Linked DNA regions of Drosophila melanogaster. The protein of the gene in region 2 interacts with the protein of the main gene of each other region in a pairwise test. Each region holds a gene or a part of one and is shown on either strand. Other genes may lie near its edges.

Region 1 (15,248 bases), on a different chromosome or scaffold from region 2:
TGGTTGCTTGGTTCCCTGCTTGGATGCCTCTTGGTCCTTGCTCCGTGCCACGCCCCTCTATCCACATGCCGCACGCCCCCCCCCCCCCCCCGTTTCACCATGCCAATGAACGCATTAGGAGCCAACAACAATAACAGCGTTAACTACTTAACAGGCACATGTAATACGCTCGCACCAAGAGTACCACTTACATTTTACATTTGCATTTTGGATGGCCCAAGGGGGGGTTTAATGGGGGTCTGCGAGGGCTTAAGGGGGGGGGGCATTGACCCCCCCCCCCTTGTTTATTTGTGACCTGTGGCCAGTTGACAATATGCAGTGCCAAACGAAGTGACGATGCCAGGAGCACACAAATCAGACTGCAGAGTGATTAAAGTTGTCCTCACAACCGCAAGAGTTGGCCCCAAAAGTAGGCAATAATTTTTGCACACAAAAAGGGGTGAACCTTCTCTGCAGATGGTTCGCTCTCATTACTCCTCGTACATGTCGCATTTAGTTGGCTGCCGGCTGGCGCATTAAGCAGCAGCTTGTGCCATATGCCACATGCCACATGCAATTTGGCAAATGACGCGTTTAAAAACGCGACAGTGGCAATAAACACGCGCAAAACGTTTGAAAATGAGGAAACGCGAGGCGAATAAAGTGGGCCACAGTGGCAATTGACTAGTGCACTGACTTATGAATGAGTCTAAGTGATGGAATAATGTATTTGCATTGGTGGCTGTAAATCTGGTCTAGTTGATGTAAACTCAAACTATTGAACCTACTCCTTTTGCAATACAATTGAATTGACAATGAACTTTTCAATTGAGCATCAATTAAATTCCCTCGACTGCAGTCGAATAATTTTGAGCACTTGCTAACGAGATGTTGAAATAAGATGAGGCAATGTTGTAAGGACTTTTGGCCCCATTATCTATTGTTATCTTTGGCGACCATTATTGTTTGCAGTTTGCGAGCGACGCAAAGCCCAAAAACACACACACCTATGTACATACATATGTATATGAATGGAGTATGGCTGTAGATCCAGGATGCCTGGTCGCAGGACTATGACAATATTTTGCTGATGCCAGCGCACCTTCACTTTAAGTGTATTATTTGCAGCACATTTATAATGATATCAGCACATAAAAATCGTGTTATTTGCCAACTTAAACATAAGCATATCAGGCTTCAGAGCAAAGTATTTTGCTCGTTCCTCTACGGGAATACAGCTTATAAATACGTAGCGGTAGCGGCTTGCCTCTGTTGTTGTTTGTCAAACGTTGTTAGTAGTGGGGCAAAGTCGGGCGAATCCTGCAGGATGTGGCGGAGAACGAGCTCGAAACGGGACCACATCATCAGCATCAGAAGCTTCTGTAGCTGCTGATGGTTCTGCTTCTGCATCAGGTTCTGAGCAACTGTGGCAACGTCAACAAGCGGCGGGAAATATTCACATGCATCCTCGGATTTGCCTGAGCGCCGTCTATATGTATGCATGTCCATAAACTCACACAGCCGCATATCCTAGATCTCGAAAGACCTGCGTATATATGCATAAATATATCCGTGTGGCAGGGTGTATGCAATGCGCTCCAAAAACTATCAAGAACAGCGATGGCAAGACAATAACAAGAGCAGCAGCCCAAAAAAAAAAAAGGCAAGAATAATATGTGCACATGCCAATGGGCTGATGCAAAAGTCGTGCTGTTTGGGCAGGACGAGGCAATACCCTAGAATGGATGAATGAAATTTTATTAAATACATAAGTACTTAGTGCATTATTACGAAATAGAAAGTAGCAGTCGAAGGAAGAATTTAAAGTTGAAAAACATTTTTCCCTGTGACACCTATTCTTCACCTATTTATTGTAACTTTTTTGAAAATTATCTCTTTCGTTAATAATAAATATTAATATTATAAAAGATATTCGCTATCAAGCAGAAGTCAAGTTTAAGTAAATTCGCATTGTGTTGCCATTTTGAGCTGTTTTATGCGAAATTCTTTTCGTAATACCTCAGTTGGTTAAGTTAAAGCCCTGTGTCGCCGGTCTGCCATCACTGCCGCTAAGCTGTCCGCTTTTTCTTTTCGCCCACAACCTTCACTTGCCCCGCTCTGGTGACTTTCTCCCTTCCCTTTATGCGATGCTGCTGCTTCTTGCTCCTATGCGACGGAGCACACGGGGCGCATGAGTAATCTAGGCAGCTTGTGCTTTGCATTTCCGTTCCGTTCTGTCCCTGCTCTTCCTGCGCTCTTTACTCATTCCCTTCTGCATCCTTTCTATTTACTTTTATTTCAGCAACCCGTGATGATGTTGTGTGAGTGTGTGTGTGTGTGTGTGTGTGTGCTGGTGTATTTTTGGTATTTATTTTTGGCATTATTATTGCATATTTTGTGTCGCTCGCTCCTCCTCTTTTTTTTCCCCCATTTTTTTTCTCGCGCTTTACGTTAATGCGAAATTTATGCTTCATGCGCTTTTAGTTCTGCCCCGCCTCCTCTTTAGTTGCCATACCTTTTCTGGGATTTTTGGTATGCGAAAATATTTTCGCTGGCACCCAGGATAAAAATGGTGGCACCCACCATCCACCATTGGCAGGTGTTTTTCGTGTGTGGGGCGGCTGCCTCTTTGCCCACATATTGATATTGACCGAAAAATATCATCAGGCACACGAGCGCACCCACACACACGCACATACAGGGAAAAAAGAAAAGAGAGGAAGTGAAAGGAAACTTGTTTATCCTGGAAGCAGCAAAGCAAGAGAAATAGATAAACAAATACATAAATAAAAAGTGCAGGCAACAAGGGAATACCGAAATGATAAAGAAATGCTGCAGGATGAAAGTAGCCAAGAAAGCTAATGACGATGTGGCGTATAAGTAATGCGGCAAGATGGGGCTCATGAGTAATGTCCTGCGACATGTGCACGTGTGTAGTTTTTCGCTCCCAAGAAATAAGTTCTAAAATTGTTAAGTAATTGCAGGTACAAATAAAGTAAAACAAAAAAAAAAAAAATGATGGAAAAGGAGCGAGAGAAACTTAAACAGCCTTGAGTCGCTTTTCTTTGATCAAAGAGAATTTCGATTACGAATGGCAAAAGGAGCTCCAATAGGTTTCCACCCCGCCCCCATCATTCAACTCAGCGCGCCCTTCATTATATTCCTTCCGCTTTCAAAAACTTCGATTGCATTTCCGTTACCATATCCATTTTACGAATATATGTATGTATGTATATATATATATATGGTTATACGCACGGCCAGCTTTTTCCAAGCACTTTGGCCCAGCTCTTTGGCATCGGATCACCCCATTTGGCTCCCGCTTTAATGGCCTCCACTTGTCGTGTTTTATGCCGATTTCATTTTCATTTTCATTTGACTCGCCACGCGCCAGGGCCAAGTACCAAGTGCATGCTGTGTGTGCCTCCTCGTCGGTGAACTTTTCCACATTCCGCATTTGCAGCACACGGAACCACAGACCCACAGACCCACAAAAACACTCATGAGCAGCACCACCGCACCACTGGCAATCGAAAAAGCCCCCCCTGCTCGCACCACTCGCCGCCCACTTTCAAATAATCATAAAAGAACGACGCTGGAAATTTATTAAGAAACTTGGGCACTAAAAATAGTTTCTAACAACACAGCGGCAGGGGCCAGTTGGGGTTTTTCCCAAAAAAAAAAAAAAGAGTGGGGTTTGGAAAATGTTACGCCCAGCCTTTCAATTTGCTGACGAATGCCCTTTGCTATGGGAAGGTCAGGAAAATATGCCAAAAATAACAGCAATCAGAATTTTAAAATCAATTAACAGTTTTTGCATTGCCCTAATTGCAGATCGAATGGGCGGATGATTCAAAGTGCAACATTTTCACTGCCTGAGATTTTAAATTAAAATCTTTCAAAAAGAGGAAAGATAGCCACATTTTTGGTATAGCAAAATCTAGCAAAAAGTTTGCAAACTATTGTTTCGATTGCAGCTACAATAGAGACATCTGACATATTGGTAAATTCAAAAAATACATACTAATTAATATGTAGAATTAATATATGTACGTATTACTAAAAGAAAATGCAATATTCATTAAAGTCTCCAGAACTTTAATGACAATTTCCAAAACATTCGATGAAATTGCAGCTATGAAATATGCAAGCTGGGAAAGTGATAATTGAATGAGCATCATGGGTCTCAAGTCACAATGCAGAATTCAATTTCTAAACTAAAGTAAAATCGATAATTTGCGTTCAACATAAATGCCTACTGCTAGTGGCACGTTTCTTTCAACATTTTCGTGCGATTTTATGTGTCACTCAGAGTTTAGCAAGGAAAAATACCAGATTTTTCCTCAATCATCTCATTTTTTGTTTGGTTTTTCGGTGAAATGTTTTTGGGCACTGCCAGTGGCTAGGCACGTTCATTAACCCCCCCTAAAAGTGTTCGGTTCTTTCTAACTAACTCGGGTCCCTTGCCTTTTTACTTTTCTTGGCCATTGTCCTGCTGGTTTGGGCCTCTTCCTTTTCCTATTTCCTATTTGGGTTCGGCTTCAGCGGCCTGTAAAATCCGTTTAATGGCATAAACGGGTTAAGCATTTTGGTGACGTAAATATGAACAACAGCAATAACAACATCGCCTGTGTCCTGAGTCTTGGCCAGAGTGTCCTGCCTGTCGGACATTGTCTGGTTTATCCAGCTGCCTGTAAGCCTCCTTCTGCCTTCTGCCGTCGTTGAGCTTTAAAAGTCTGAATTTCAGTTATGAGCAGAACGTGAGTCTATCGCACACATATGCACATGCATGCACACATACACGCTGGCACATCCTGCCACACCTACACACACAACCCGCACGCTTCTTGGCCAACTCGCTTTGCATGTGTGTGTGCATTGGGCATTTTTCAAAATGGCAAACAAAGCGCGCGTGACATGAAAAAACGGCCAGCAAATCGTTCACTCAGCCTCAGAAAAACCCAAAATCCATTTCCCTCACTCACTCATACATACATACATACACACACTGGCGACTTTCCTTTTGTTTCAGAGTGTCTGTCTGTGTGTGTATGTGAGTGTATGGGTGGCAGACAGTTTGCCAGGCATTTGCTTAATTTAATTTTGCCTGCCTCAACGGCTGCTGTTTCAGCTCTTCTCTCCCTCTGCCCACTTTTCACTTCATTTTGTTTCGAATTTCCACGGACTTTAAGCTCTCCCAAATGGCAGGGGAAAAGCCCTTGGAGATTTCTCTCGGTGTACGCTCCAGTGGCTGTCTTGACTTGCAGTTTGTTTTCTTAAAATTTTGCAATTAATCAACTTAACGTCCCCAGTCCGGGAATCCATCTGAGCTCTTTAAGCTCGCCAAAAGCCTTCGACCTGCAGGCGCTGAGCAAATATACTCGACTAAAATCAACAGCACAACACAGTTGGGTTCACCCATCATTTCAGTCGTGATTGTAGTTTTATCAAAAGTATTATAAAATGTACCAATTAAGTTATAGTAATTTACACATAGCTGCGAGCTTGAAAGCCAAGTAAATGAAATTAAATCGAAAATTGGAATCAAAACCAAAGTTTCAGTTCGATTGAAATGTTCTTATGTGAAATGCCAAACAGGTTGGATATTTTTGATTGAAGAAAGGGACCTTCCACTTGGTGAGCTTTCAGATGAGCACATGTGTGAGATCCATTGCTCATCTGTGATAATCGAAGGGGGCGAGGGGCGGAAATGTCCCTTAAACCCACTGACACCACCCACTCCTTGCGAAAGTTGAAGGCCACAGACAGAGAAGAAGGTGACAATTGTTCATTTGTTTGGTCCTTTGTTTATCGCCAAACAGTTGACAGCTCTGCTGCTTTGTGGACCAAAAGCAAATGGAAATGGGAAATTAAAAGGGGGAATGGAAAAACTGGGGATATATATGTACGTGCACATGACGGCTGCTTTCTTTTCGAAATTTCAATTGCTGACAGGCTACTTACACACAGGTAATCTATGTTGTAACATACTCACTCATTTTGTATACTATTTTCAAGTGGAATTGTAATCAAACCCATATTTATACGATTTAACGGCAAGCCTCATTAGTATTATATGAATAGTTATATAAAGTAGAATTATAGATAACGATCTGTAAAATAAATGAAGTTATTATATATGCATTAAGTAATTAAATAAACACAAAAATATATTTACGTGTTTTCAAATCAACATTTGTTGGCTTGTAGTTCGTTTGTTGGTTATCGATTTGAGAATGTTATCCTAACATAACTTTATATTCTTGTTGTTCTGCATTCATTTCTTCTGTCTCTAGTGGAATTCACAGGAACTAGAAAGATACCAATTAAATTGAAATAAAACCCATATCAACACTTCCGTGCATTTAGATTTCCAATTGCGTTGGCTGGCTTTTTGGGCAGAGCAGAGATCTGGTGCTACAATTTTTGTCATTTGTGACTGGCGATTGAGTTCCGCTCCCCAGGATGCCAGGGCACTTTGGCACTGTGGTCAACACAATCAGGATGCAGTCATCGCCAGTTGGCACTCCATTCCTCACCCACTCGCCTTTCCTTCTCTCTCTCTCTCTCTCTTTCTCACTTCCTGCTTCACTGTCTGGATTTCTCTGAAATTCCCACACACACACACATACAGAGCTGCTCCAGCTGACATAACTCCAAATGCACTTGCTGACAGTCATTGAAAACACAAACTGTAGATTATGCCACTGCCTGGATTCTCTAGTTCGGACAGCCTCATCCTTGTTTTCCTCCAGGCATCCTGGCAACCTGGCAACCTGGCAACACGGCAACCTGGCATCCCAGCACTTGTTATAAATCACAAAACAAGTAAAAGAAAAAAAAAAAATCGAAAATTATCTAACGAAATGCTACTCAAGAGCGAGAGCGAGAGCATTGGAAGAAAAAACCCAAAGACCAAAATATATACTACGTTGCTTGGGCCAGGTGAGCCTGGAGTCTTCTCCTCTTGGCTTAAATGTGCAGCATTGCAGAAAATATATCGGCCAAAATGCTGAGGCTGAGCTGCGGCCCATCCTCCATTTTGGCCCATTCACCTTTTTGCCGGTCAGTTTGGCAGTTGGTAATGCGGTCAGTATGTGTTTGGTAGTATGTGTGTGTGCATCTCAGTTTGGCCCGCTCTTTTATTCTGTTTATAAACGTAACAATGACCGCATTCTTGTTTTTTCTACTGAGCACAGCACCTCCACCGCCGCCCACTTTTGCACTTTCTCATTTCACCAAAAAGTGCAGCAGCAAAGTTAAAGTTTTCCTCAACTGTCTCTCTCTCTCTCTCTCTCTCCCTCTCCGTTTCTTCCTTTTTCTATTGACAACTGCGGCTTTGGTGCCAAAAAGAAATGGAGGAAATGGGCATCCTTGCACAGATACACGCCCCCATCTCCGCCTTGCAACACCCGCCCACCCACACACACACACACACAGTCACAAATGAGCAGCAGGAGGAAAATGCCGCGAGCTCTTTACGCGGCCACAGTGACTGCGAAAAAAACATTCCACTGTGCCAAGCAAACAGCCACTGGCAATTGGCTGAAGCGCTGAGCGAGGAGCCGGTCTGAACCAAAACTGAGCCCAGTTAAGAGGCGTTCTGAAATGGTTTGGTTTGGTTTCGTCTGGGCTGAGGTTTGGGTTTGGGTTTGGGCCTGGGCTTGAGGTCGCCTCGCCGCATTAAAACAAATAAAATCAAATAAACGTTTATTGCACTGAAATGTTTACGAGGCCACAACAAAAACAACAACGTCATTTCGAGGGGGGGGGAGTAACAACAAAATGACAGCCATAGTAGTGAAAATCTGGCAATTTAATCAGCCCGGCAGCGAAATGATGGACAAATGGCCACAGCAACTTTGTTTGGTTAACACTGGGCATGAATTTTTGGCCAGGAGTGGCGCCAAAAGTGGCCCACTGTCATAAGCGTCAACCACGTGTTTTCATTTTTTCATTGCCCTTCTTTTCTTTTGACTGACCTGCTTTTTAAGTGTAATTTTTTTGGTCGTACATCCCTTGCTTCGCTGTAAATTGGCCAATCTTTTTCCAATCTCAGCAACAAATGGATCCTCACAATCACTAAAAGCCCATAGGTTAAGTTCTTTTCCTTAGAATTTCGAGAATAGTGTGACCAACTCAGCAGACCGCTGACATTCACAATATATCGATAGTTGAATGGAATTTTTTTCTGGTAATTGTGGTAACCCTTAAGCACTAATCGCAGGAGCTATCTTGACAATTTACAGCCAAATATCTTTTTTAAATACAATAAATGAATATATTTGACAATGTTCTACTGAAGCTACAAATTTCCAGTGCTGTACGTTGCATAATTTATTATGAAAAAAAAAAGTTATACTTATTATGCCAGCCGAACATAATAAGAATTTTCGAGACTAGAGTTCCCATCTGCAAAGACATGACAAAGCACTGGCAACCCTTTTAGCACGTGTCAAAAACGCAAAGAAAAATACGATGACTTTTCAGTCTAAAAGTCACATATCTGATTTGGCGTGAGGACCTCAGTTGATTCACATCTCGGAGCGGATATTACTTAATATTATATTAATTAATATATTCATTTGCAAAGCACAGAGTTTTCAAGGTGAGCATATTAAGAAAATTCTTTTCCACGCACTTTACCCGTACAAGTTAATAGGTTTTCTTACCAAAACAATGGATTTCAAGAAGCTGAAGAAAATGGAGGAGGCGGTGCGCATCGGCGGCAAGGGATCTATGCGCCGCAAGCACAAGAGAAATCCATCCCCGGCTGTGGTTGAGAAACGAGTGCAGGCCGAATTGGCCATGTTACCGTTGAGGAATATTGGAGAAATTCAAGAGGTGACCATCGAGTTCACCAATTCCAGGGAGGTTGTGTTAACCATGCCAAAGGTTCAGGGCACCCCTCCCAATTCTTTCTTCGTGGTTAGTGGCGATCTCGTGCGCAAATCGTCAACAGCTGGCCCATCGAAAGTGGCCAAGGCAGCCAATGCGCCCAAGGCACCCATGCCACCTAAGCCACCCAAGCCGGAAGCTTTTTCCGACAAAAAGCCAGAATCAGGGGAGTCCATTAAGGTGGCCAAGAAGCCCAAGAAGCCGCGCAATCGTGTTCGTCCTCGCAACAAGAAGGTTCAAATGATGCTTTCCAAAAACAAAGAGGAAGCAGCAATGGCTGGCGGGGATTCGGAGCCGAAGCTTAGCAATGGTAAATCAATTTTGATCTCCTCTGAAGATGGTAGCGATCCGAATAATGAGAAGGTGCCATCGGATGAGTCTGATGTGGATCGGACCGTCGTCTGCGCCAAAGATTCGCTGGGAAGTTTCGGCGATGATTCCGACGGCAAGGAGGACGATGACAGTAAGGAGTCGATTTACCTATCTTCCTACTCCGATTACTATGATTCCGCGGATGAGCAGCTCAATCCGAAGACTTATCGCGCTCAGGTGTCAGAGGACGAAGATTAGACATATTCATTTGTTGCTACATTTGTACCAATTTTCTAAATAAATCGCATACTATATACGTACATACTGCACTTCATATATATTTTCTCTAAATTTTTTGGAAATACTTATAAAACATGTTTAATCATTGTAAAATTTTCATTAAATGTTTATCTCACAAGAACGTGATTTCTTACGCTGCGTTAAGTTTTTGCCAGTCATTATTTCGTGTTCTCTTTCGTGTTCTCTTTCGCATGGAATACCTTAGAGTTGTCAAAATTATTTGGTGAAATGGCCAGAGAATAATTAATCGGCCACAAATAATTGGAATAGCTATCATCACAATTTACAACCAAATACATATCTATTATAAATAAAAAAATGAATATATTTCAAAAAAAATATATTTATGCTACCAGAGCTGTAAATTGTATAATTTATTATGAAAAAAAGCACTAATACTTATTATGCCAGCCGAACATAATAAGAATTTTAGAGTCTAGAGTTCCCATTTGCAAGGACATGACAAAGCCCTGGCAACCCTTTTTAAAAAAAAAGACGATGACTTTGCAGTCTACAAGTCACATTTCTGATTTGGCGTGAGGACTTCAGTTGATTCACATCTCGGAGCGGATATTACTTAATATTATATAAATTAAAATATAAATTTGCAAAGCACAGAATTTTCAAGGTGAGCATTTCAAGAGAATTCTTTTCCACGCACTTTACCCATACAAGTTAATAGGTTTTCTTAACAAAACAATGGATTTCAACAAGCGACAGAACATGGAGGAGGTGGTGCGCATCGGAGGCAAAGGATCTATGCGCCGCAAGCATAAGAGAATCCCATCAGTAGCTGCGGTCGATGAGAAGCGCGTGCAGGCGACATTGGCCAAGATACCGTTAAAGAATATCAGCGGAATCCATGAGTTGACCATCGAGTTCACCGATTCCAGTGAGGTTGTGGTAGTCATGCCCAAGGTTCAGGGCATCTCTGCCAATGGTTTGTTAGTTGTTAATGGCGATTTCGTGCGCAAATCGTCAACAGCTGGCCCATCGAAAATGGCCAAAGCAGCCAAGGCACCCAAGGCACCCAAGGCACCCAAGGCACCCAAGACACCCATGGCACCCATGGCACCCATGGCACCCATGGCACCCATGACACCCAAGCCGGAAGCTTTTTCCGTCAAAAAGCCAGAATCAGAGGAAACCATTAAGGTGGTGGCCAAGAAGCCCAAGAAGCTGCGCAATCGTGTTCGTCCTCGCAACAAGAAGGTCCAAATGATGCTCTCTAAAAACAATGAGGAAGCAGCCATGGCTGGCGGGGATTCGGAGCCGAAGCTTAGCAATGGTAAATCAATTTTGATCTCCTCTGAAGATGGTAGCGATCCGGATAATGAGAAGGTGCCATCGGATGAGTCTGATGTGGATCGGACCGTCGTCTGCGACAAAGATTCGCTGGGAAGTTTCGGCGATGATTCCGACGGCAAGGAGGACGATGACAGTAAGGAGTCGATTTACCTATCTTTCTACTCCGATGGCTATGATTCCTAGGCGGAGCAGCTCAATCCGAAGACTTAACGCGCTCAGGTCTCCGAGGACGAAGATTAGACATATTCATATGTTGCTAGATTTGTACCAATTTGCTAAATAAATCGCATACTATTAACGTACATATACCTCGCATACCTTACATGTTTTTTCTCTAGAATTTCTTAGAGTTAGTCAATATTATTTGGGGAAATGGCCAACGAATGATTAATTTGCTAAAATCGTCTTGCATTGTTATAAGCCGCAAAACAAGGCACAAAAACCGAAAATCCTTCTAAAATTAAGTGATGTTTATTAACATAATTCCTGTTCACATTTAGTTAAAGATTGGAAAAGTTAATAAACTATTGAGTCGCTTAAAGATCCATTTGATCTCTTGAATGCTTTTTCGTGCCGCATTTCTTGAACGCATTAAACAAGAAATCCGAGCAAAATTAATTTAGTAAACGTTTAAGAGGAAATGCCACGCCCCTATTTACGTTCCACGGTGGCGGAGGTGGAAAGGGCGGCAAAAACTAATCTGCGCCTCGAAAAATGTACGAAATTAATCTGCACATAAATTAAGCATTAAAATTTAATATATTTGTTTATGGAGCCTCAAAGTGCGATGGTGTTGGTAGGGTGGAGCTGGCGGAGCACACGAGTGGGCGTACCGGATGTGCTGTATATGTGGAACATGAAATGTGTGTATATGTATAAGTGTGTAGTGTATGGTGTATGGTGTATGGTGAATGGTGTATGGTGTGTGTTCTTAGTGGTAATAAATAAATAGCAAAAAGGTAATAAAACAGATAGCGAAAAAGGAAAAAACGGAAAAACATCCCGGGGGGATGTGGAATCTGCCAACTGGTTGCCCATTATCGTATTAGCACATGCCACCAGTGATTATTATGAGGTGTCCTCCCTCTGCTCCAGGTCCTGCCACAGCTCCTTTTCCTGCTCCTGCTCCTGCTCTTGCTCTCCCCCGTATCCTTTGTCTATGCATGCGTGTATAATTAATTTTGCACCCCTGTTTGTATCCACATCCCCCATGATCAGCACCCAAGCTCTTGTTCTCGTCCCAGCTTTTGCTTTTGCGTTTGCTATTCCCCCTTTTGCTTTCGAGGCAACAATGGATGGCCTTCATCCCAACTGGGAGCCAGCACTCTGGCAAAATTGGTAGCGAGTTTCCCCAATGGAATCGGGGCCAAATCGGGCGGACTTATGGTCTGTCGACAGACACCAACGAAAACCAACGATATCGCTCTTCCGAACGGGGATGGGGTGTTGCACTTTAATTTCCCACAAGATTCCCTACAATGCATACGCATTCCAATTCTTAAAAGCCAAATTGGCTGTGGCTAACACTGATTAATCCGCACATTGTTCGACAGCCAAATATGGGCCTCAAAGAACCAAAAAGGTGAAATTACATGTGGCAAATCTGCCTATTGTTTTCGTATTTCCCGTCGCTTTTGGCACGTGGAAAATTTTACAAATTTTAAGCAGATATAAACATACCCATGGAATGTTGTATGATATTTGCCTATATATTTATATAGAATAGAATTGAATCATTTGAACCAAAATGAAACATTTCGCATAGGAGTTCCTCGTTTTTGTTGCGTTTTTAAAAGCACATATACTCGTAGACATGCCAGAATAATATAAATATAAAAAAGTAGAGACCCATTGAAGATGATAAAAGCTTAAAATTGTCAAGGCGATGCTTCTGAGGCATTTTTATTTGATATTTTTATGGTATATAAAATTTCTGTTGGTCTGAACTGAAGCTTCCAAGAGCTTAATGTTGGATTTCAAAAAGTATCAAAAGTATCCAAAAGTCTAAGCTGATGCCATTCCACCAAGTGGCTTACTTTACCTTGGAATGTAATGTGAGTGCTTTTGAAGAAAAAAAAAAAAAAAGCAATGGAAAGACGTTCAAATGGTATTTGGATTATGTCGCTCGCCTTTTGCCTCTTCGTCCATGATGAACTCTGGAAATTTCTGGAAATAGTGGCGTTTATGAAAGTTGTCATTCCGATTTGATGACTATTGTCGAACATTATCTACAATAATTCATAAAAGAATGCCGTATCCAGTTGATGCGGCGAATGGTTGATGGATGAAGATGAATGGGCCATAAGAACATCTCATTAGGCTGAGTGAAAAATAGACCTATCCGCAACACCTACTTGTATCGATCCCAGAGTGCTGTGGGTGGGTCTGCCCTGTGCTATATTGTCGCCACTTTTGTTTGGACTCTAATGAAATACGCATTATTTGGCAACTGTCTGGCAGGCAGCGTGAATTTAATATGTGGAAACATCGCTTCTGTTCCCGCTTCTCTACTTCCTGATGGCTCCTTGGTCGTGGTCCTCGCCTGTCATCCGCAAACGATGCCATTCATTTTAAGTCACATGTGTCGCCCGGGCATATGGCCACATCCCGGGCAAACCGATTCGAGGACATTGTATTGCGGTCGACTATCCCTGTCCCTAACACACGGCTTAAGTGTTTATTAATATTGAATCGTGCGAACCCGGACATGTGTTGGACCCCTAAATTGACTTTGCCGTAACTGATAAGGTCCCATTCGCCAAAAGACGCAGCCTGTAGTTATTGTAACAAGCCATTGGTGATTGTTATCGAGCTTGGCGAAGACAACAGCTGGTCACACTACACGCACGTATCGCAGCAAGGACTCAAAAGAAGTCCTTGCACACAGCACAGGATTCCATTCCGTTCGATTCGTTTCGATTCGATTCGATTCTGGTCGAAGAACAATTACGAACTGAGAACTGCGAACTGCGATGCTCTTGAAACGGCAATTATGAACTGCACCCTCCGCCGCGCTTCTCACAATTCCAAAAGAGGTCATGGGGTCAGCAGCTGGCGAGAAGTTCGCAATGGAAGGAGGGGAAAAGTTCGCCCTCAGTGCTCTTCAATTATTGTAATCTATTTTAAGAGGCTCTTATATCAATATTTTCGATTCGTTTTCGGAAAGAGTTCTTAGCAGAGTTATTCTGCATCGCTCGTTCCCTTTCCAAGTCCCCTATTCCATGCCAAATTCACATTCCTTGTCCTTGCCAAAAATTCTTTGCTTAACTTTCGCCACCAGTGTCTGCGAAACGAGGTAACCTGGCCCAAAAATACTATACTGCAGCATGCTTTCAGGCCTTGGCAACTCTCTGTTGGGCACACACACACACACACACACACACACACACTCATACACATACACTCGAATGCAAGCACACGTTCTCGTTCCGCTGGGTAATGTCTTTATATTTGAAATTGCTTTGCTATTAAAACAAAATAAACGACGCGACGCGCAACTTATAAATTTTGTTTGAAAATCAAGTGAAATAAATGCAGTGGCAGAAGTAAGGCGCTGAAGGGGTGAGTTTTCTCCTTTTTTCTGTTTTTTTTTTTTATTTGGGAAAATCTGTACCGAAGTGGAAAAACAGAATCGAGAAACCAAGAAAAGGAATGAGGCGAAAACAAAAGCGCAAGACAAACACGAGATATATATCCTGAAAAAAGGGTGAGGGGTTGGGGCAATAAATTTAACTTTTAGCCGGCTATGTGTGAGTGAGTAGACACACCAACACACACACACACACACACACACTCACTCACACGAAAAACACATGACCATAAATAGCAGTGGAAGAAAAACCTTTGCCATTTCCCATCGCAAAGAGGTCCTTTTCGGCGGTTGCGACTTTTAATTTTATTGCCAAGGTCCGATGGTTTGGAAAACACACATCTTCCCCTCTTGCTCACTAAAATGTTGGCCAATTGTCTGTTGTTGGCTGTTGGGGTCAGCTAATAATTGGTAGACGGACTCTTCATATATCACTGGCGCGCCCAAATGTAGTTGATTCTTGTAAATGATTGCCTGCCCGCATAAGTATATGGAGGAGTTCCTCAATTGATTTCGGGTATCTTAATGAAAATATGTCAACTCAGTGGGGCTGCATGTATGCCGCCTGCGCGTACTCTCTTTCTCGATATCCACCATTTTTCATTTTAATTTTAACATTAATTTTCAATTCAATTTCGCTGCTCATTGTCATCAATTGAATGCAGCAGCTTGATCCTGCCACGAGTTTGTCATTGATGAATGCCTTGCTCTTGGGCAAAGAAAAGTTTCTCATTTATTTCCTGTTCACGTTTGCATTTGATTTTTATTTATTGCGCATTTTTCTAAGGCTTTCACTTCTAAGGTTGCCTTTTAATAACAGAAAACTCGCATAATTTCGCCCAAAACTTTCGCCCCAAGCTGA
Region 2 (16,014 bases):
TGATGGGAAAATTCTTATCGGATATCGATATCCTTTACCTGTTGAAGAATATAAAATTGAAATAAATTTCTTTGGAAAAACAAACATTTATCTTCGTATAGTTTTTTCACATTTTCGCCTAGCTAGTGGTGAATAATTTTGGACAGAAGGAGCACTGGACTTTTTCCGTGGAAATCATAGAAAAATTAAATTAAAAAGGCACAAAAAGGAAATGAATCTCCTCGCCGAACTTCTTTGCCAGTATAAAAATAAATTCACATATGAAAAATCGGGTTCCTGGGTGCCACTGAATATGTTTATCCATCGATTCCGGGCTCAGATTACCACCATTGACCTGAAATTAAATAAGCATTACTTACTCCAAATAAAATATAAACAAACAAGTGCGTACCTTTTTTGTTTACAATTTTAACAGCTGATGAGTGAAGTGCTGTTAACCTTTCATAGTTATCGATAATCTGTTATTATTATCGGAATATTGCTCACTTGCTAAGGATTCCATGAAATTTAAACAAATGGACTTTGTGACGACAACTGGGGAGGGAAGTTTTCTGCGAAACAAGATTCGTGCATATGCCAAGGATCACCGTGTTGAGTGCCGCATAAAGGCGAAAGACTCATTGCGCATTGGACTTGGACAGGTTAAGCAGGAAGTGGCGGCTCTTGAGATGGGCACCAAGGACGTCATTGGAATGGCCAGCAGGATCAAGCGTCGCAAGCACGCCACCTCCGAGGATCTGTGCCGCTTGTCGCTGGGGTTCCTCCAGAGCAATGACAACATCAATGCATTCGCAGCTATTCCTGGCGCCATTCAGGTTCTGGTTAAGGAGCTAACTGGTAACCAACTGCACCCTCATTAGCTTTAGTTTTATATAAAAAGGTTGACTTGACTTTCAGGACCTCACATTCAACGACAGACAGATGCCGTGGAGTGCTTGTGTAATCTTTCCTTGGGCGAGGCCCATGTCTCCGAAAAGATTGTCACTTTGGCGGGCAGCTACATGGTCACCTACCTTGATGGCAAGGCCGAACGCCTCAAGCGCAGTTGCCTGTGGACACTGGCCAACGTTCTGGGCACATGCGACAAGGCCGGCAGCGTATTGCTGCAAATGCAAATAGTACCCAAGCTGTGGAGGCTCTACATCGAGCCCAATGGCTGCCAAGAAGATGCGGCCATCTGCCTCTCCCTGGTGGCCACCCGCTGCCCGCAGCATGTGAGTGACGAGGATCGAAGGTACATTGGCCAGAATCTGCCTGAGAAGCTCCACGGCCAGCCTGCCAGCGAGTACTTCATGTACATAGTGCACCAACTGGAAATAGTGACACAGGAGCACAAGTTAGATGCTCAACAGGCCGAATGCCTGGTGCGTTTCTTTGAAGCCACCTTAGCATCGCCAGCCGACCGGCTGTGCCTAATCTACGCCGTGCGTGTAATGACCAATCTGGTAGCCCTAGGTGACACAAGTCTAATATTCGCACTGGCAGACCCGCAGAATCTTGTGCAAACCCTAAACCAGCTCTTCGCTCTGCGAGATCCAGATCTCAACCTGGACGCGATGCGCTTGCTCAAGAACTGTCTGCACTTGAAGGTAGCAGATTCCAACCTGGTACTGAATAGCTTGCAAATATACGCATAGGCTTATGGTTAAGAATAAGTCTTGCAAATCTCTTTATTGGTCTTAGAGTACATATAAATATAAAGCCACGGACTTTTGAGTACTCGAGAATGTATTGTAAATGAACATGGATTGCCGCTAAGCAAAACTAAATCACTAATGGAAACAGAATAAAATAAATAAATAATAAATAAATACAATACGACAAAAACACAGATGCAAAGTGGTCAACATGATTACTAGTTTGATTGAGCCACCGGCATGAAAAACAGGACTTTGTAAAACCTAAATATCATCCTCGAAGAGGGCGATTATTTGACGCCTTTTGGCTTCGTCGTCGGCGTTCAGTTCATTGCCCCTGTGGGCATTGTGGTTGTGCACCTCCAGTTCGGAGACTGAGTCAAATTCTAAATTGCACTGCCCGCAGCGGGCTGAGAAAACGGGCGCTGGACCCTGCGAAACTGTGCCAGGAGAGACAGCGGCCCGTTGCAGCTTCTCGAGGAACGTGGCTCTCTCCCTGTGCTTGTCCAGCCCGATTCCCAGCGCCGCCTTTCCGCGAATGGGAATGGGTTTTTTCACCGTCGGCGTGCCCTGGGAATGGCAACTTTCAGAGCGCTCAATGGCGTACAGCACGTTGTTCTCCTCCGTGATCGGAGTCGTCGTTCCGCTGGCACAGTCGAATAGAGATGGTTCCTGCACCGGCCGGGGATCGGGTATATCTATGGGAATTGGCGGCTCAGCTATCTTCTCACCGTTGGACACCTTCACCTGATTGAGCTTCTCGGCCAGAAGCGAGTCTATGGAATGTTCCTGCAGCCAGGCGCAAGTTTTGTGCAGAGCGAATATCATGCGGCGGATGAACTCGTGCGGCGAGACCATTTTCTGTCGCCTAATCTCGAGCAACTTGGTCACCTCGGTAACAAACGTGACGAACTGGTATTCGACGCAGTTGTCCAGATGCGACTGATGCGAGTCCTCGAACATGAAGCGTTTGGAGCATGCCGGACACTTGCGCTCCTTCCACATGGGCTCCGGTATGTTCACTTTGATGTCGCGCAGCTGCAGCTGATCCTGCTCCATGGGATCGTCCTCCTCGAAGTTGGTCTCGGTGTAGTTATAGCAGTTCTTGTGCTTGCGCAGCAGGGCCGCCTCCTCGTTGTCGTCGCTGGAACTGGCCACCGCATAGTCGTCATCTTCGTCGTCATTTTGGCCACTGCTCGATGGCAGTTCGCCATCCCGCGGTTGCCTGGGCATGCTGTTGTGAGGCTGCTGCTTGTTGAACAGCACGTTTAAGTACTGGATCTTCTGCTCAGCATTGCCGTCTAGCTGGGTAGTCGTCTGATTGAGCAGTCGCTTGTGTACCTTGTCCTTGGATGACTCCAGTTTGTTGGCGCTGTTGTTTAGCAGAAGATTATGCACTGGCCTCTGCTCCACATAATTCAGATCCTCCGCCGTGAAGAGGGCGCTCTCCTTGTCCATCTTGTTCGCATCCGAAACGTTGACCCTCTTCTGCTGGTAGAGCTCCGCCAGCTTGAGACTCAGCGCGTTCTTGATGCACTGTTCCCGGAATGTGACGGCATGCTTGAGATAGGAGATGCACGGCGCACATATGTTGCGTGGCAGTCCGTCGTCCGTGGAGTTCTGCGGTCGGTCGAAAGAGGAGGCACTCATATAAACATTTATCTGGCTACTTTAGAATGGAGTCACTTACTTTCAGGCCCGTCGTCTCCTCCAGCAGAACGTTTATGGGCTTTTGCCAGTTGAGAAACTCGTTTGTGGAGCCGTGCAAATACGTGGGAATCTTGGCGAATATCTCGTAGTCTGCGGGGCTGCTGCAGATGCGGCAGATATTGCCCCACGACGTCATACTTATGGCAAACCTTAAACTTAATGCTTATGCCGGAAAAAATAAACAATGACAATTTTCAACACTCCGGCGAGTGTTGCCCTACCACTGAAGGTTCAAAACTCAACAGTCCACCCACTTGCGGCAGTGATGTCCAGTTAGCTATAACAGGATTACAGCAAATTTTTTGAATATTAATTATTATTAGCTAAACACGTGACAGATATATTAATGACTAAGACGATAGTTTATTTAAGCATAAATAATACTGTTGAAAATACAAACGTAGATTTATTTGATATATATTTACAAAGCTAGATTTTATTAACACCAATTGGCAACAGTGGCCAACAGTCTGTTAATGCTCTTGATCTAGCTGAACTCGGGGGTCACACTGGTGCCCATCTGGAATTGCATAAACAAACCTCGCTACTGGAATAAAATCACAAATATGTCGTTTAATATCATGCAAAAGCTGACCATGCAGTGCCTGAAGGCAGACCAGCCGCTGATGAGTAAGGACTTCCCACGAACCGGTTGCATATTCTAATCAATTCAATCCCATTTAGCCACCGTGCGCAATGCCAGCAAGAAAACCGGCGGAAGTACGAGGAATAAGAAGGGCCATGCGAGGCCCAAACATCGCGGATGGCGCGTCCAGGATGGGCACCACGTCTCCGAGGGCACAATACTGGCCACCCAGCTCACAACGCGCTTTCATCCGGGCCTGAATGTGAGTAGCGCAGGAAGGAGTTATCCCGGCATATTTTTATACTTTTTCCCATTGAAAGGTGGGCTTTGGCCGCAATGGAACCCTTTTCGCCATGGAGCACGGCAAGGTTTATGTGACCTGCGAGGCCATCGATCCCAACTGGGACCACACCTGGATTCAGCGGAACTACGCCGGTCGCCAGGGCCAGAACATCTACAAGAAGTTCTTCAATGTTGTGCCCGAAAATCAGCATCAGCGATTTCGTCTAGTGGAGGAAATCTAGATTGTTAAATACAAAATTTAAACCAAATGGAAATGTGAATATTTGAATTTTTGGCAATTAACATCGATGTGCTTAACAGCACCTGTTATATTTACATGCCAGCACGACCGTTATACAGCACTGTATTTAGCAATGCTCTGAACCAACTATCGAATACACGCCCCGAATTTGAAAAGAAATCCAGTTAATAGCCAGATATCAATGCAACATTTTCGATTATTAATTTCGCAAAACTTTTTACATTGCGAACTTCAAAAACAAAAACTACACTTCCCCCTTTTTTAGCCAAGCCGAACGCTATTGAACTGTAAAATGAACTTTAATAATAAGCCATAATCATCTATAAGAAATTATAAAATTATGCACATGACGGTATAGGCACTGCCTACAGAATTTCGCTTAAATCAAGTACACGTTTTATCCTATGAATGTAAAAACTTATTTAGTATTGTTGTAGTGAAATTCAATTTAACGCTTATATATGCAGTATTATGTTTAATTATTCATGATTATATATTTTCATAATGCATATAGACTTAAATTTATCTTAAATATAATGGTGTGTACGAGATATTTTTTCAGACTAAAATGGTAGTTAGGGGTATATGTTTTCTGTCCGGATGGTATTTCGTATTTTTTGTTATCGCCGCCGGGCGGTCACACTGCTACAACCGCAGCCAACTTCGCTTCTTTCTTTCCTACAATTTTAAAGATGGTGAGTGGACGTCGGTAAATGTGGTGCACCTAAAATGTGGTTTGTGGGCAGGCGAATGATGTGGAATAGAAATAAGAGCTCACTCAAAGTGCCGCAGCATGCCTGCCCACTGACTGCAATGGCCAAGTGAGCATAGCGACTGGAGCAAGTAAACATAACCTCCAGCACGTGGGTGAAAATGATTGAGGAATGCTCAATGAAAACACGTTTCTTTTCTGCTCTCCCTTACAGTCGAATATCAAGCGGAAGAAGACCAGGAAGCTGCGTGGTCATGTGAGCCACGGTCACGGCCGTATCGGCAAGCACCGCAAGCATCCCGGAGGTCGCGGTAACGCTGGTGGCATGCACCATCACCGCATCAACTTCGACAAATACCATCCTGGTTACTTCGGCAAGGTGGGCATGAGGAACTTCCATCTGCGTCGCCAGCACAAGTTCAGGCCCGAGATCAACCTGGACAAGCTCTGGTCCCTGGTCGGAGCCGAGAAGTTCGCCGAGCTGGAGAAGGAGAAGAGCACCAAGGCTCCCGTCATCGACTTGGTTAAATTCGTAAGTTTCGCCCGAATTCCCCATCCAGCTACGCGAACTCTGCTGCCGCTTTCAACATGAAGATACACCCAAGGCGATGGGCGGACAGAATGCTACCGTACAATTGCTCTCACCGTGTAGAGGACAGCCTTTCAGATCAAAGCCAGCAGTTCTTGAAGAGGATGTGCACCCGTTCTCACCCCGTTGTAACCCATTGTATTGACTCTGGTGTCCTTCTCATGTCTCCACAGGGCTACTACAAGCTGCTGGGCCGTGGTCACCTGCCCGCCCGCCCCGTCATCGTGAAGGCCAAGTACTTCTCTAAGAAGGCTGAGGACAAGATCAAGAAGGCCGGCGGTGTGTGCTTGCTGAGCGCCTAAGTTAAGGTGAGCTTGTGTGTCTAGCTGTCTTACCTATTCGTCGGCGAAGCAATGAAGTGCAGTATCCTAATTGCTATTGTTTCCCTTGCAGATTCCTCCTCTACAGAAGAAAAAAGCAAGTGGACTACATTCGACCATCAAAAATGTATTTGTTTTTTAATAAATTTAAAAGAAAAACAAGTATTTGCTATTCCGACAAAATGTGTTTACTAAAAGGTATTGGGGCTTCATTTTCTGCTCGCTTGGCGCAAGTTGTTTAGAACTTTCTATTTCTATTCCTGCTACAACTTTCCTTTATATTTTTATAAAGAATAATTTCTATATGGTTAGTTTGTTGTGGCAAAGGAAAACTTGTATTTTGAATCAAATAACAAGGGCAAATTTAAATGAGTTTGACAATATTAGAAGTATGCCTATTTTTGTAACTTAAGAGGAACAGTAATAATATAAAGAAAATAAATAGTAATTTAAAGAGTATAACTGCGTCGGTGCGCATTATCAGTTAATCCCTCCATTTTTAGCACTATTCTCGACTAGGCTTTTTGCGCCTTCGCAGCTACGGTCACACAGCGGCGGGCAGAAAGCTCGCGGAAAAATTCGGAAGAGGCGGAAAAGTACGAGACGCCCGATATTGCAAAAAGCGGAAGCAGATTACGTGTAGGTCAAGGCCGTAGGGATGAGGGCAACTTCCATCTTTGACCTTGCTGTTGGTGATGGGGTGCGGCGACCTTGGGTCAAGGACACGACCGAACAAGAGGCACCGAATCCAGGAAACGTAGTCAAAGTGGAGGGCATGCCTGTGTGGGCGGGGGATGTTCCAGTAAAAACAAAGTAACTTGATTATGACCTCTGTGTTGCAGTTAGGAAACGAACTTGTTGACTTTGTAACATTACATAATCGGAAGCCCAGAGTGAGGAGAACTGCTGCGAGATGGCCAACAAAGTGCTGCGAAAGGTGACGCACTGCGTCTTCGACATGGACGGTCTGCTGCTGGGTGAGTGCTGCCGTGCTTGTATCTGCTTTCTGTGTTAACTATTTGCCGAACAGACACCGAACGCCTTTATACTGTGGCCACCGAAATGATCCTCGAGCCCTACGGCAAGACATATCCCTTTGAGATCAAGGAGCAGGTCATGGGCCTGCAGACGGAACCGCTGGCCCGGTTCATGGTCGAGCACTACGAGCTGCCGATGTCGTGGGAGGAGTACGCACGCCAGCAGCGCGCCAACACCGAGATCCTGATGCGGAACGCCCAGTTGATGCCAGGTACTAATCCCAGTTCTCGCTTTGCCGTCACGTTTCAGACACGGAGAGGATATACGAGGAGGTCACCCGGCAAATAGCCGCCTCCTTTGGCCGCCCGTATCCGGAGGAAGTGCGTTTCCGGGTAATGGGCACCACGGACCAGCGCTCGGCAGAGATAGCCATCACCGAGTGCCAGCTGCCCATCACAACCGGAGACTATCTCAAGCGGTACTCGCAAATGTGCCACGAGCGATTCCACAACGTACCCCTGCTGGAAGGTTAGCACCACGACCAGAAAACTAATCGGCATTTCTCCCTATAAATACTTCTGCTTCAATTACTATCCTACTGTGATTAAAGCCGTTTGTTAATCGTGTGCTTCCTTCCCCGTTCAAGGTGCTGAGCGCCTGCTGCGTCACCTGCACGCCAACAAGGTACCCTTTTGCTTGGCCACCAGCTCCGGCGCCGACATGGTCGAGCTGAAGACGGCCCAACATCGGGAGCTGTTCTCCCTGTTTAACCACAAGGTGTGCGGTTCGTCGGACAAGGAGGTGGTCAACGGCAAGCCTGCGCCCGACATTTTCCTAGTGGCCGCCGGCAGATTCGGTGTGCCGCCCAAACCGTCCGACTGCCTGGTGTTCGAGGACTCGCCGAACGGCGTGACGGCTGCCAACAGCGCCGGAATGCAGGTGGTGATGGTGCCGGACCCACGACTGTCCCAGGAAAAGACCTCGCACGCCACACAAGTGCTGGCCTCGTTGGCGGACTTCAAGCCGGAGCAGTTCGGGCTGCCCGCCTTCACGGATTGAACTTAATGGCTGACGTACTTTTTGTAGCTAAAAGATGCTATTGCTGTAATTGGAAATCGATGTACCTACCAAGAAAATGAATTTAAGTGTAAATGTTATCCCATATACACGTATACGTATGTGTGCATAAAGCATCTGGCTTTGCCTTTATTTTGCGCCTAATCTACATAGTTTTCCAGCGTAAGTTCTATTTGCCAACCGCTTCCAGGTTTTTGTGTATGTCAGGAGCAGCGTGGTTGGCCAGGGAGAGGGACACTTCCTTGCCGTTGCCTGCGGACATGGGAATCGATGTGGGGGAAGCTAGCAGCGCACATTATGCTAATCTACTCACCATAGCGGGCGTAGAGGCGGGGCTGGACGCCAGAGCACTCGCGCACGAGGATCGGCAGGTCGGGATTGCTCTTCTTCAGGTTTGGATAGAACCTTTCCACGTATTCCCTGTAAAGGAACGCTGCTTTAGCAAATTATATAATTTAAAAGCGGAAAATGACAATTTCACCTGACTCCCTTGGAAGTGTCTCCTTTGGGATCCAGAATGATTCGCAGCTCCTTCAGTTTTGGAGTAAAACTGGCCAATCGGAACAGAGTAATACCCATTTTGGCACCACTTTTGCGATTTTGAAATGTTCAGGAAGTAAGTCTATTTAAATGTCGGTACTACGCAGGGTTGTCAAACTGTCTTGGATTACATATTGGTATTATTGTTTTTTAAAAACAAATTACTTTTTGGCTCAAACTAAAATAACGTCTAACTCACCAGAGACGCGAACCATTAGTTGCATCGTTTGAATATCCATTCCAAAGACAAGAACCAAGGCAATTGTCTTGGCTGACACCAGGTCAGCATTTGATTGGCCCACATCGATAAATACCGATAAATGCTTGACGGCCAGTCACTCATTTGTTTTGGTAAACATCATTTGTCTCTGGAAAATATTCAATTGAACACGTATTTGAACAATTATGGCGTCCGTGCATTGTCAACTGTGGATGGGAAGCGTAAGTAGCAACGTGCATTACCCCAGACACATGACCCTTTAAGCCCGCATGGCCATTTCAGCTGGAGTCCTACATGACGGAGAACTTCATAATCGCCGCTTTCCGGAAGATGGGCGAAGATCCCACCACGGTGCGCCTGATGCGCAACAAGTACACGGGCGAACCGGCCGGCTACTGCTTCGTCAACTTCATATCCGATGACCATGCGCTGGACGCGATGCACAAGCTAAACGGTAAGCCCATTCCGGGCACCAATCCCATTGTGCGATTCCGTCTTAACTCGGCCAGCAACTCGTACAAGCTGCCCGGGAATGAACGCGAATTTAGCGTCTGGGTGGGCGACCTCAGCTCGGACGTGGACGACTATCAGCTGTACAAGGTGTTCTCCAGCAAGTTCACATCGATCAAAACCGCCAAGGTGATCTTGGACAGCCTGGGGTTTTCCAAGGGTTACGGCTTTGTGCGATTTGGCATCGAGGATGAGCAGAAATCAGCGCTGTACGACATGAACGGGTACATCGGATTGGGTACCAAGCCCATAAAGATTTGCAATGCCGTGCCCAAACCCAAATCCGAGTTGGGTGGTGCTGTGGGCGAAGGCAACACAAACTATGGATATGGAAGCGGTATGACTGCAGCAGGTGGCACCGACTACTCGCAGTACTACGACCCCACCAGCACCTATTGGCAGGGATACCAGGCCTGGCAAGGTTACTACGAGCAGGCCGGTGCTTCGATCACAGATGCGGCTGCATACTACCAGCAGGCCATGTCGCAGTCGCACTCTAATCCGCAGACTCTGGCCCAGCACGCCGAGGCCTGGAGCGCACAACGCAGCGCCCAGTACGAGCAGCAGCAGCAGCAGCAGACCGCTTCCGCCGCCAATGGAGCTGAGGATGAGAACGGACTGGTGGAGCACAAGTTCGTCCTGGATGTGGACAAACTGAACCGAGAGGCCATTGATGCCGACCGCCGTCTGTACGATGCTCTGGAGAGCTCTAAGTGGCTGCCCATTGAGCAGCTGGAAGTCTTTTAGGATACTTATCTACTATATTTATAGCTTACTATAATTACAGCTTAGATATAAGCAAAAAATATAAAAGCCTGACTTGTAGCGTATTATTGTTTTTGAGCCTGCTATAAACTTTTATGCTCCTGAATCTACATTTCTTAACAAAGGATTCAAAATAAAGGATACATTTTTACAAAATATCCCTAATATCCTTACAACAGATGTATTTTATCGATATACAGACGGAATACTATTCTGTCCGTGTCATCGCCATGTCGGCCTATCGACTGTCGATAGTTTCTGCCTTGGCCCGAGACTTTCGGAGATTGTGCAGACAATTGCGGACTAAATAAGCGTTGAATCATGAAGCGAGCGCGGCAGCCGAAGATTACTACGCAGGCCCTGCTCGATTTTGACTTGGGCGAGAGTTCCTCGGATAGCGACTTCCTGCCGGACATCGACAACTGCTCGGACGGATCGAAGGACGAGAGCGATGGCGACGGTAGCAGCAGCGACGCCAGTGGTGGCTCCGATTCTGAATCGGATTCGGATGCGGAGAGCGAGGATTCAACACTGCAGCTCCGGCAGCTGTTGGCGGAAACGGAACCGTCACCACTGGAGAACGGGATCAATGGAGTGGACCACTGCGCAGCTTCCTCCCCGGCAGCACCAGTAGTGCCTCGTGCGCCACTTCAGCTGTCTAGTGCTCCGGCCAAGCGGATGTGCTGCGTCTGCCTGGGCGAACGCAGCGACGACGTCAACGAGATCGTGGAGTGCGACTCCTGCGGCGTATCTGTCCACGAAGGATGCTATGGCGTCAGCGACAACGTGAGCATATCCAGTACCAACTCCACCTGCTCGACGGAACCGTGGTTCTGCGAGGCCTGTCGTGCTGGGGTCTCGGAACCGGACTGCGAGCTGTGTCCCAACAAGGGCGGCATCTACAAGGAGACCGACGTGGGCAAGTGGGTGCACCTCATCTGCGCTCTGTATGTGCCCGGCGTGGCCTTTGGCGAAGTGGAGCAGCTGTCCTCGGTGACGCTTTTCGAGATGCAGTACAGCAAGTGGGGCGCCAAGGTGTGTTCCCTTTGCGAGAACGCTCTATTCGCTCGCACGGGCGTTTGCATTGGTTGTGATGCAGGCATGTGCAAGACTTATTTTCACGTGACCTGCGCCCAGGTGGCCGGCTTTCTTATCGAAGCGCACCACGAGGACGATGCCGCCGATCCGTTCTACGCTCACTGCAAGGTGCACTCGGAGAAGGAGATGATCAAGAAGCGACGGCGCAACTACCACACACTGCGGCTCAATATGATGCAACGGGCGAGGGAAAAAGAGGCGTTAGCTGCCGAACATGAGACACCTGCCCCTCACCCAAATCCAGCCCAAGCACGCATTCAGCGTAAGCTGCTCAAGATCCAACACAAGTATACCAGGCACAAGGAGCTTAAGCCCACGCCGTGGGTGCCAACGCAGAAAATGTCACGCCTGCTCACCACCTCGGCCTCCGCCTGTCGTCGACTGTTGGCCAAGGCGGAGATTATGTCAGTGGATGTGCAGCATCTGGAGCAGCGCGAGGCGCACATTAACGCCTTGACGGACATTCGGAAGAAGTGGCACATTGCGCCGGCATTCAGCGTTGAGTTCACTGCTTACTACATGGACCGTATAGTCCGCATGGATGACTTCCGTCAGCAGCAGCGGGAGCTTATTTCGCACAACGCTATCTTGTCCAAGGATCAAGACGTGCTGAGAGCTCAATACGACACCGCGTTGGAGGAGCGCAAGGCAGTGAAGGCCACTAAGGATTCCCTGCTAACGAGCATTAAGTCTCTGCACACGGCTTTGGGCCAAATTGCACCCAACATGACGCTGCCCAGCGTGGATCTCATTGCGCATCCACTGCCAGAGGCGCCGCCAAAGACCAGTACGCCGACTCCACCCCAGCGTCCCATCTCGGTGCCCACGGCAGCTGCACTGAAAATGGGCGTGGGCTTTCCGTTGGGTCATCTGGGGCCACCGGGCAGTAAAATGGACTCGTCACGCATGCTCAGTACTCATGCCAAACAGGGCAAACACAGCACTTCCTCGGCATCCGTGGAGGCGGCCCCTTCTGTGTCCTGTGGCATCTGCAAGAGGAGCAAGGATCAGCATCTGTTGGTCAAATGTGACACTTGCAATTTGCACTACCACCTGGGCTGTCTGAATCCGCCGCTCACTCGACCCCCAAAGAAATCCAAGCAGTATGGCTGGCAGTGCTCCGAATGCTGCGACAAGTCTGAGGGTTCGGATGCCGTCACGGAGATCTCATCGGGTCCGAGAAAGTCACGCACTCGCTTCAATAAGGATGGCCATCTGGTCTATGTGGATCGATATTCGCTGGACGATATTCCAGTGGCCGCTGTCAATGTACCCAAGGAGTCACACACCAAGCGAGCGCTCAACAAATCCCTGCCAGCTCCTGCTCCGGAATATATAGAAGATCTGACTAAGTCGCCGAAACGGCCTAAACTCCAATCCCCATGTAAAACACCAATTAATGGTGAGTTCGTTGTTGAGAATTCGATTTGGCACAATACCTGTTTAGATTATTATTGCTGATTTGGAGTTTTTGGTTTATTTTTTTTTAAATGCAAATGTGTAAATATGTATGCGTGAATTAACGGAATTTTTCGCTTGATGGTTAGAGAAATTTATGATTTATGAAGAAATTGGTTTTCTGTTTAATCCTGATTATCACTACACTTGTTTTTTTTTTGGCCTGTACAAAGAAAGTCAAAACTATCTCAAACATTGATCTTTGTTTACGTTTATTGAATTATACCCAATTGGTATTTAATACAAGAAATTATTTTTTTGTTAACAAATAATAAAGAAAAAATTTTTTGCGCAAATTCAAGTATGTTTAATAATAAATAATAAAACTAATGTCACGGATCTTCTTCCGCCAGTTCCTGCCGAAAATGTCACTCCCACAACTGATGCTGCTCCTGTTGCCGCTTCGGCGGCTACTCCTGCGGCAGCTCCAACACTGCCCACGCCCAATACTATCGTGATTAACCTATCTGGCTGTGAGGACTCGATTGACGACTCCAGTGGAAAATTATCGCGCAAGGGTAAGCGCAAGGACAAGCACAAAAACAAACACAACCTGTCGTCGGATACAGAGAAATCGATCGGCAAGGAGCATAAACGGAAGCGAAAAAAGCGCGCCCACCTTGACGAGTCTTCCACCCATTTGGATAACGCGGGCAACACCTCGGGCAGCACCATTAAGATTATATTCAAGGCATTGCGTTTACCCGGCGAGGATGCGCCGGAGTCTCAATACTTCTACGTGCCGGCCAATGCGGTGCGCTCCGTGGACGAAGCCTCGCGCCCCACCTCAGTTGAAACAGTCGAGGACAGTGTCCAGGGAGCGGAGCAAGCCTTGGCACCCATCGTGCTGCCGGCAGCGTCACCGCAAAAGGTTCGGGAGCCCAAGGAGACTGCGGCCAGCGCTTCCGTCAACCCCACACCATCACCTAAAAGAAAGGTCAGTCCACGAAAGGCAAGTCCCCGAAAGCCGCGTGTGGGTCGACCACGGGTGTCCAACGCCAAGCCTAATGTGGAAATCAGCTGCTGCGTGTGCAGCCAGACGGGCAAGTCCAACCAGGTGGTGACCTGCGACGAGTGCCACCGGCACTATCACTTCGCCTGCCTCGATCCGCCGCTCAAGAAGTCGCCCAAGATTCGCGGCTACTCCTGGCACTGTGCCGACTGTGATCCCACGGACGAGGATGCACTGCCCAAGAAATAGAAGCAAACATGATTTTTACGTAGATTTTGTACCATTAATATCATTAGGTCCGTGCGATATTTACAAAACTAAAATTGAATACACAAAATAAAATAAGTAAGACACATTCATATTAAAAATAAAATATTGACCAAATTGTAATTTGTCACTCGCTGAATTGTTCGGCTCAGTTATTTAACATATTTATAAATACATTTATTAATAAAAACCATATAAATATTACCGAATTGGATTTCATTAAAGACGGAACCCGAAAAGGACTCATGAGACGTTCAACCGACATGATACGAAAACGGAAATTAATTTAACATTGTTGTTTATTATTTAGCATGACCAGCATTCCATCTCATTTTTGATTCTTAAATACACATATAAAATTATACAATTTTCAAATTATTAACGATCTGACCACGAATGTTGACCATGTTTTGGTGTTTTAGCAAGGAAACTCTGCATTTTTCCATCATATTCCTGAAAACAATCAGAGTTATGGACAAGTACCAAATACCAATTCCAATACAATTGATTTGTATTTTATCGGCATTCCACTGGCATTTCCGTTAAATGTGCTGTTAGGAGCCCAACCACATGTTGTGCTATCGAATGATAATCGATTCACGGCATTCGATATCATATAAACAACGAAATCGATGTACTTTTCGGTATGCCCTACACCGGGCTTAGAAGAGAACATTAATTTAGTACTTAGGTTAATTTATATCTATATATTTGCAACCTATAGTCAGTTTAAAGGAAATATATTCTTTATGTTTTGATTTTTTAGCTCGAACTACAAATGATATATGTTTATGCTTAAATACAATATTGTTGAAAAGATATTATGCTATAAAGTGAAGTCTATAGCCAAGTCGACCAAGCCGCACTATGCTCTAGTCCAGCGGCTGTTGGAAAAACGGCCACGTAAAAACATAATTTTAACAGGCGCAAATACTTGGCGTGTCTAGTCGCCAACGTGAATGAAAGTAAACAAAGGGCAGTAAAATATGCCACAGCGGCAAGCAACGAAGCAGTTGGAGTTGATATGTGACGTGAAGGAAAGGCAATAGTTCCGGACCCAGTTTGTGACCATGGACGAGAAGCTAAAATATTCTCTGCTGCGCGGGGAACTGGTGGACACGCAGAGCATTTGGACCAGGTGGGTCTCACAGCATACAGCTCACTAAACCTCCCCAAGTACAACTCCTTTGTCGGATCATTGCAGGCATGAGAAGCGTGTCTGGTTCATCACCCTTATTACGGGCACCTGTATGCTGTACTCCACCCGCACCACTATGCCACTTCTTGTGCCGGCCGTGGCATCCGCCCAAAAGTGGAGCAAAACCGACTCGGGCACTGTGCTCAGCTCCTTCTTCTGGGGCTACACACTCACGCAGGTTGTGGGCGGCTACTTCAGCGACCGCTTTGGAGGCCAGCGAGTCATTCTGTTTGCCGCAATCGGCTGGTCGCTTATCACATTCCTAATGCCCACTATCATCTGGACGGCGGGCTCCATCAAGAGTTACGCTATTCCCTTCATTGTTGCCATTCGAATCCTGAACGGCGCTCTTCAGGGCGTGCACTTTCCTAGCATGATTAGTCTAACCAGTCAGGTGCTTAGCTAATTTTATAAATTTACACATAAACTATAACTTAATCGTTTGCAGAATTTGTGCCCCAATGAGAGAAGCAGCTTCTTTGGGCTGCTCACAGCGGGATCGGCTCTAGGTACTCTTCTGACTGGGATTATGGGATCTTTTCTGCTGGACTACTTCGGCTGGTCGTATGTATTCCGGGTGATAGGACTGATGGGCATCGCATGGGCGCTGGTGCTGCGCTACTATGCAATGGCCGGCGAGCGAAACCGAATCATTAATATTGCCACGCCATCCCGACTGTGCGCGAACAAGAGTCCGGCAGAGACGTCAGCCGTGCCTTGGTTGCGATACTTTCGTAGGCTGTCCTTCTGGGCCTGTGTGCTGACTCACGCCTGCGAGATGAACTGCTTCTTCGTGCTACTCTCCTGGCTGCCTACATACTTCCACGACGGCTTTCCACACGCCAAGGGTTGG

What was found.
Region 1: the proteins of CG15439 (region 2) and betaNACtes3 interact in a two-hybrid assay, tested with the Drosophila melanogaster proteins (one large-scale study listed by BioGRID).

The regions. Positions count from the first base shown.
Region 1 is NC_004354.4:14,370,319-14,385,566, forward strand, and holds betaNACtes3 (Nascent-associated complex beta-subunit-like, testis 3), read left to right. Parts: upstream 1-8,487; 5' UTR 8,488-8,587; intron 8,588-8,641; 5' UTR 8,642-8,658; coding exon 8,659-9,447; 3' UTR 9,448-9,508; downstream 9,509-15,248. Other genes in the region: betaNACtes4 (Nascent-associated complex beta-subunit-like, testis 4), read left to right, coding at 10,189-10,980.
Region 2 is NT_033779.5:4,447,447-4,463,460, reverse strand, and holds CG15439 (uncharacterized protein), read left to right. Parts: upstream 1-10,422; 5' UTR 10,423-10,509; coding exon 10,510-12,688; intron 12,689-13,097; coding exon 13,098-13,945; 3' UTR 13,946-14,166; downstream 14,167-16,014. Other genes in the region: CG15443 (uncharacterized protein), read left to right, coding at 501-837, 898-1,637; CG15435 (uncharacterized protein), read right to left, coding at 1,902-3,257, 3,328-3,483; mRpL27 (mitochondrial ribosomal protein L27), read left to right, coding at 3,929-3,977, 4,032-4,195, 4,254-4,457; RpL27A (ribosomal protein L27A), read left to right, coding at 5,170-5,172, 5,404-5,721, 5,952-6,080; Gs1l (GS1-like), read left to right, coding at 7,012-7,075, 7,129-7,347, 7,723-8,135; ND-B8 (NADH dehydrogenase (ubiquinone) B8 subunit), read right to left, coding at 8,323-8,405, 8,467-8,573, 8,635-8,732; Secp43 (tRNA selenocysteine associated protein), read left to right, coding at 9,099-9,134, 9,196-10,170; MFS18 (major facilitator superfamily transporter 18), read left to right, coding at 15,034-15,101, 15,168-15,555, 15,610-16,014.